2 linked regions of the Oreochromis niloticus genome follow. The protein of the gene in region 2 interacts with the protein of the main gene of each other region in a pairwise test. Links are inferred from orthologs where the notes say so. Each region holds a gene or a part of one and is shown on either strand. Other genes may lie near its edges. The genes, in order: elk4 and srfb.

Evidence for each region.
Region 1: the proteins of srfb (region 2) and elk4 interact in a two-hybrid assay, tested with the Homo sapiens proteins (2 studies listed by BioGRID and IntAct). The link is inferred for Oreochromis niloticus from reciprocal best matches to the Homo sapiens genes SRF and ELK4.

Annotation. Positions count from the first base shown.
Region 1 is NC_031970.2:38,506,419-38,510,340, forward strand, and holds the start of elk4 (ETS domain-containing protein Elk-4), read right to left. Parts: upstream 3,036-3,922; 5' UTR 2,820-3,035; intron 520-2,819; 5' UTR 357-519; coding exon 356-356; intron 1-355. UniProt on the Homo sapiens protein: Involved in both transcriptional activation and repression. Interaction with SIRT7 leads to recruitment and stabilization of SIRT7 at promoters, followed by deacetylation of histone H3 at 'Lys-18' (H3K18Ac) and subsequent transcription repression.
Region 2 is NC_031978.2:24,480,782-24,484,703, reverse strand, and holds the start of srfb (serum response factor b), read right to left. Parts: upstream 2,481-3,922; 5' UTR 1,999-2,480; coding exon 1,348-1,998; intron 1-1,347. UniProt on the Homo sapiens protein: SRF is a transcription factor that binds to the serum response element (SRE), a short sequence of dyad symmetry located 300 bp to the 5' of the site of transcription initiation of some genes (such as FOS).

The sequences.
Region 1 (3,922 bases), on a different chromosome or scaffold from region 2:
AAGACTGTTTTAAACTCGGCATGTCAACGTCTCCCCACACTGTTCTGTAACTCGAGGTCATCACATTTTTTATTTTACAATTTTTAGACAAGCACAAAGGAGCACCTTTTTAATTTCAATTGTTTTATTTTGTCTCCTGAATTCTATGGCACTATGTAGTTAAAAATAGCATTAGTATACAGTGTATCGTGATATAGACAAAAAATGTTGTGATTAGATTTTCCACATATCGCCCAGCCATAGTACTAATGGTATCAGTCTACAGCTCTATGCTGACTGTATGCCAGTGTTAATTTAATTATTTCATTCATTGAACACAATGACACAATTGCTTTACTTTTCACAATTTACTCACTCTTCTTTGAAAATTAAGTCACTGCTAACCAGCTAGCTCTGCACTGGTTGGTTAGGTTCCTATCGTGGTGGTCATCAACATCATTCAGTTTTTTTGAGTTCTTGAGTTGAGTCTTGAGAAAAGATCAACCTTCACCATCTCGGACCGACTGCAATGCATGCGCTCTGTGAATGCAATTAATCAAATGCACAAACAGCACATAAATACAACGTCTTTGTCTCCATCCATACTGGCTGTATTTTCCAAAAGGCACTGGATCGACTAGCTGGTTTTGACTGGGTTCCATTTTTGTACAGTTCATTGTCCAAATGTTGTGCCACAAACACTCTCCTACTGGCTTTAATGGTAGTATATCATAGAATTCCCAGCATTTTGAGTCAAGCCCTATAATTCAGCACCAGCACAGGTCCATGTATGTGAGGAACTGAGAACCCTGTGCTTAACTTATTTCCAACAGCAATGCTGCCACAACAACAGGGAAACCAGTATGTTTTCAGTGAAGGAATAATCTGAAAAACATTCCATCTCTCTGCTTCTCTTCTACTTTCTGTGGTCGCATCATGTTTTTGTTGTCAGATGACTGTACCGGAAAAACATATTAACACAGATTAAACCTGCCTTTAATTTGCGGTTTGCTTTTCTTCACTGCTAAAGTCACAATTTTTTTTAATGAGAAGGCATCTGATAAAATTGCCCATTCACATACAGTAAAGACTTAGCTGGTCTGTGATTTCAGTTCAGTTCATATCATCCAAACCAGGATTTACACACTCAGTTACAATTTCTTTCCCCAAGCTATCATGCCCCAACCCCCAACTCACACATCAGCACTTCAAACACACATACAAAACATACTCACACATACACATAAACATCACCACCACACAGGACAAGCGCAATACTTTGGCGCAACAGTGCACATCTGCATAAACCTTGTACATCTGTTTGTTTGTTCTTTAAATTGTTAGCTATTTATTTGTTTTTTATTGTTATTTATTCCATTTTGGTTGAACATATGATGTTCAATGACAATAAAAGGATTCCGATTCACACGTTATAATTGTGAGGAAAGTTTCTTCTGCTGATACACTGACGGTACATAACTGACACTCTTTCAGAACTCGATAAAGGCCAGTTTCGAGCCAGGGAAAACCTTGCTACCATCATAAGTTCTGTGGTAAACACTAGAGAGACTTAATCATTGTTGAATAGGAATAATTTGTAATACTTTGCTTAGAAGGTTTTTGTTTTGTTGACTAATATATCAATGCACACTGATATAAATGGAAGAAGGGGTGCTCTTTAAAAAAATAAATAAATAAATAACAGCAACAAACTGTTATCTATTGACCATTTTCCCTCATTAGGACATTAGTACATAGAATTGAATGTGTGTGAGTGAGAAAGATTTTCTTTTACGCATTTATCAAATGATTGTAATAAAAGCATTAATAAAAGCCACCCAACATCACCCCCATCTATCTTTTGGAGTGCTGCCTCCCACGTGGGGGGTGTTCTGATGAGTTATACATATATATGCATCATAACTTTATTTAAAAAGTCTAATGGATCATGCTTGGAGCCCACTCTCAATAATCCACAAGTGATGTAGTTTTGGAAAAGCTTTATTTTGTAAGAAGCTCGTTTTTTCCTCATGCTTACTCTTCAGTTTTAATAACAGCTCCTATTGCAGGTTTTATGTACCTGTAATTCACAGCTCCACTCCTCTTGCGCACAAAAACTTATCACTGAGGTGATCGCTGCTGCTGTGTGTCGCTGGCTTTTTTTTATCTGCGATTCTTGTTATTTTGTCCAAGTAACAGGTTCAATATGACTTATGCTCTCGTCAGTATCTGTCAACATGTGTGCGTATAAGCTTCTTATGGGCCAGGGAATAATAAATCTGTCCTGACTCATCGAAACCTGCTGGGATGCAGACATCCACCCCACACACACACACACACACACACACACACACACAATCTGTCCCAAACTGTCGTGTTAAACCGGTGATATCAGGGCAAAAATAGGACAGTGTCAAAACTGGTGCCAGGGAAGAAGATTACCACTGAACGTTATGTAACTCCTGACATTAGTTGCAAATGTTATCTATGCAGATAACGTCAGCTAGGTCAAATCAGTCAAATGAAGTGTGTTATCTGTGTGGTGCGAACGCTAGGACCTGAGTTGCTGTTTTTCTCCCCTCTCACAGCCAAGCACCCACACAGTTCAAAATAAAAGACCACTTGTTGATAGGTAACGTTTGCTAGTTTCGTCGCCGTCAACACAGGCTGGACGTCTTTTTTCCCCTCGAGACTTGAAAGTCTCGAGCTATAGCTTCGAAGCTACGTTTAGCACGAGCGCAAACATCCGCGTACACCAACAAATCAAAGCAGTCTGTTATTTTGCTAACTCTAAGTTAGCATTTAGCTAACCTGGCGTTAGCTTTGCCTGCTAACATTACCTCGCTCGCGGAGCCCGCTGAATTTCCGAGTCGTCGAGCCGCATCGAAATATTCCCCAAACATTTCCGGAGGGCTTTCTATACGACCATAGCTCAGGAAACAAGTTTCAAACAGAACGTCAAGCAAATGCCTGAACATCAAACACATTAAACTGTATTTGGCTCCCACTGACGATATATCCTCTGAACAGGAAATACTGTCGCGTTCAACGTTCCTCGTACACTTCCATTCAGTGAATTATCCGCCTTTAACTGCTTCAGTGTGCTGGCGGCACTAGATTATTTTTTTATTGGTAGAAACTGAGCACCAAACGCCTTCGAGTTACGAAACTAGTGTAAGAATAGTCGCTTTTCTTGCTGGATATGCCTTTAATGTTAGCAGCGTTATTATTAAATCGGCTTAAAAGTTATACCGTGCAATCTTCAGCGTTCGCACCTGCTTTTGGTTGCAAAAATTCCTGCTCTACCAAAAGCACGTTAATGCGTCATTAAACTCACGCTGAGCTCACTTCCTTTGTCGTTATATGTCAAAGTCATTGTAGTTAATTTATATATTCTGTGGCTAAACAACAATAGTACTTTACTTACTTGTGATTTAAACAACTTAAGCTGTGGAAATGACACGTTTCTACTCACAGTTCGCAGTACTGCTGGTATCCCCACAGCAGAAATCGCAAGGCAATTACATGAAAAAAGGGATTGTGTCCACTCAGTTTTTACACATTGAAAAGTAGCCTTCACCGGCTCGTCTTGACCCTTGGTGTCACGTTATTGTTTTACCTAAAAGTTCCAAATAGCAGTGGGCTACTTCTGTGTAGTAGTCAACGTATTGCTCTTACAGATAATAATATAAGTCCAAATCAAATTTAAAAAGAAATGAAAACAAACGTCTCATAACGTTGAGTGTGTAATACAGACTTTTTTCACACAGCGCCATGTAGGTTTGGATTTTTTCCTCTTAATAATAAACAGCTTCATTTAGAAGTGTTATCTTGTTTTATCTTTGTCTAATATTTAAATTTGTTTGATGATCTGAAACATTTAAATGTGACAGACATACAAAAAAAGAAATCCAGACAGGAGCAAACACTTTTTCACACCACT
Region 2 (3,922 bases):
ATGGCTGGCATAGTGTGGGCAACCTTTTCAAAAAAAAAAAAAAGAAAAGAGAAAAGAAAACCATCCCCACACTGTGTCAAATAGTGTTCATGTTGCCAAGAGCCTACATAAAGACACCTCAGTTTCCACGACAACAGTCTGGGATACATAAAAAGAGAGAAACACAGCAGAGCGCATGGTGCAGCCGTATCGAAGAAACACAGGGACAAGTTAAAGGAAAGAGAAAAAAACTCCTGGACTCCAATAAAGCACCGCTTACAAGTGTTTATTTAAAGTCATAATGAAAAGTGGCCGAGTCCACATCACAATAACTGCTGGGCTTGTGGTCAACAGCTGACCCCAGCTCAAGTAATCCACTCTCCGTGACTCTATACCAAACTGTGGTGTTTTATTGTGGCATCAAATCGTGTGGGTGAGCTGTGAATTTCCTCAGAAATGTTGCTTTAAGGAGACAGTAATGGGAGCAGTTATGACTGAGAAGCAAGCTTTGTCATCTTTAATGTCGCCTGCTTATGAGCCAGAGTCAACTGACAAAAGTGGAAACCAGGACAAGTCATCAGTGAGACTTGGACGTCTGTGTAATGTACAGCACCATAATGCATGCACAGACAGACAGCACCCCCCCACTACCACACAACCCAGGCTTCTCGCTTCTGTCTCAGTGTTCTTTGACCGTTCTTTGGTCCGTTTCCCTGGGGTTTTGTTAGCTGTTGGCACATACAGGCCGACTGCTGCTTACTGCCACATGGCTGCCGCCTGTAAGCAGTGACAGAGGGAACAGGCTGTGACTTGTGATGAGAACAACATCTAATAGTTGCAAGGATGTCTGTGAAGGTGTGTGGGGGTATGTGTGCAGGTATGCATGCATGAATGAGTGGGTCAGTTTATAAGTTTCTGTGTGTGATAGTTGAGATTGGGGGTGTCATAAATAGACCTGTCATTTGCTCTATTCTATTTAAAGCCCAGTGGCTGTCATGAATGTTCTGACTTCCTCACATCCACTGAGTCACTTCTGGACCACAATGGCTTTGTCTTTCATAAGAAATACACTGACACAAGACTGACATCAGGTCAGCAGCATGTAGGCTCACATGAAAAAAAAAACAACAACCCAAAAACAAACCCAAAGTCTTTCTTGTGGTTATTGTAATAACAGATGCACACTGTCCCAGGGTGCTGTGATTTTTTTTTTTTTAAAGGTTATTAACAAGTGCACTTCCATGAATGACTGCAAAGCACCCTACAGTGTGACACTGCTGTACTTCCAGGCCAATCAACAGCTAAAAGAGACTCTCAAATCAAACGCTGGCGCAGCTGGATGAGATCCAGACGCATCACCTGACTCACCTTCTTCATTATGCCCGTCTTCCTCTTGCTGAATGTGGTGTACCGTCTCAGCTTGTTGTCAATAAATTCCATCTTTATCTTTACGCGTCCACGTGTCTTCTTGCCCGGTTTTGCCCCGGCGACCCCTCCGGGCACCATGCTGTAACCTCCGGGCGATACTCCTACCTCCTGTCCCGACACCGCAGCCTCCATCTCCCCTCTCTCCCGCTTCACCCCTCTCCTGCTGTCCCCAAGTGAACCCACGGGTTCGTCATCATCTCCGGAGTCCGAGTCGTTATCTGAGCCGCTGCACAGAGGCGCACTCTCCCGGTCCGGATCGAAGCGGGCTCCGTGAGGCAACATGACTCCTGGACTTAAGCCCACCATGCTGCTTTGAACGGAAGTCTGAAGAGGGTTTACACCGGTCCCGTTCCCCGGCCTCGCACCTCTCGGACCCCCTGGACCATTAGCTCCCAGCATCCCAATGGTATCTCTGTCCCCCTGTCGCCCTGCAGCACCGGTACTCTCGCTGACCCCCGGTAGAGCTTGCCCTGATCTGACAAGAACGGGACGAATCCCGCTGCCGACCAACCCCGAGCCGTGTTGTGTTGTACCCCTGCCTGAACCCGAGCCGTTTCCAGATGGTGCCGATCCAACCTGGCTCGGTAACATTATATATTTACTGGAGCGAGTTTTTTAAACACCAGCCAAGAAAGCTGGATTCGGTTGCCTCGTAAATGACTGATAAAACGCATACACGTCCGGGCCACGATATGTAAACAAACCCGACCAAATGATGGTTCAGAGACTCCAGGAAATTACCGAGACAAACTTTCGAAAGTGATGCTGCCCCCAAGACCCTTCAACCCCGGCTCAGTTTGCTTCACCCTCCTCCTCTATTTCCAAAACTCTGAGCACTTTCTCAAAAAGGAAAGCGCGAAGAGCGACCTCCATATTGTTGCGCCACGTCACCTAGTCCGCCCTGTGAACCGAAAATAGCTCTAGTGTCGATTTGCTCGCACACAAGTCGAAGTTTCTCTCAGATAATGTTACAGTATTTCTCTTTCCGCGTGTCACAAACGAACATAAACCTCAAAATTTAAGACAGCGCAAGCGATAGCGGAGTAATACCTCAGCCGAGGAACTACTTCCCTCCTTATAAAGAGATACAATGTTTCCTTATTTGGTGCTGTCTCTCCTTATTTGGTGAGTCACAGCGTCGTGTACGGATTGGTTGAGGATTATCTGAGTAGTGCTGTCATTGGTCAGCGAAGCACACTCATTAGAATAAATACCAAAATGGTTGCGCTAACTGACAACGTCACCGTGGAGAAGTAAAGAGGCACCAACATAACAAAACATCCAACTTTTATTTTATTTATTTATCTTAATTACCCACAGGTTGTAGCGCCTATAACACACAGCAAACTCCCATTTTCCCGGAAGTTGAACTATATAATCTCCTTTTATCTGAAGCGCATGTGTGCAGCACTGTTACTGTAGATAATTCAGCAATATGAGATAATTTAAGGTGCCAGATTATCGCACACCGACTTGCACAGGGAATGTAACTGTAATAAGCAAGTTCCCTTGAGTATGAAGCCTGCTGCTTCCTACCAACTTTTTAATAACGCCACTGTTAAGCAAGGTGCATTCTCTGTCTGTTTGCTTCATCTTGTTCACCTTTGCACCAATTCCAGCCCTCTTAGTAAAATGTGTTACCAGTGTCGTCAGAGATGGCTTCCTCCTCTACAAGTAGACCTGACAGCAAGGACAAACCAGCTTAAACTGATGTCATTCATCATTAGGCTTTCTTTGAAACGTGTAATCCGTATTCATTTAAAAGAAAAAAAAAGTATCAGAGGGAAATCAGTCAGAGGCACTTAGGTGTGCTGTTTGAAACGATGGAACAACCTCCACCCACCTGGTCTTACGGGCAAGTTAAAACAAACGCCAGAGTTTTGAGGCATTTGAAGATGGTTCAGTGGCAGGATGCTCAGGGGATTTTTATTGCAAGTGAACTACAAAATCGAAAGTTCGGTGAAACGCAGATTTACTCGGAAAATTGTTATAATATCACCGCAGTGGAAAGACATTTATTGCGTTAACAGACTCATTTCTATTCAGTGTTGCTTCTCGGCATGTCACGCGCACCGAACGAGGCCCAAAAAGTGACATGCGCACGGTGCTGTGTGCAAATCTCAAGCGAAGTCCCCCCCCAACACACACACACACACACACGCGCGCGCACACACACACACACACACACACACACACACAGAGTGCACAGTGCTCAAAGTTTGGAGGAGACCCATAACGACTGAGGAAGTGCTAAAACTCACTGAGCACGTAGACCCATTGAGGAAACTTCTTTAAAAGCTAGTTACCACATTAAACTGTAAACAAATTATAATGGGGAAAAAATGTTTGGCAAGCCTCAAGGGTCAGGTTTAATCCTTACCTAACCGCACAGCGCCCTCTAGTGGCTACAACAGAGACTTTTTATTTGGATAAAGAAAAAAGTAGTGCTGGATGTACTTTTACAAGGTCATACAAGTGGTTTAACAAACTACAGCCCAACACTATAAAGTACAAA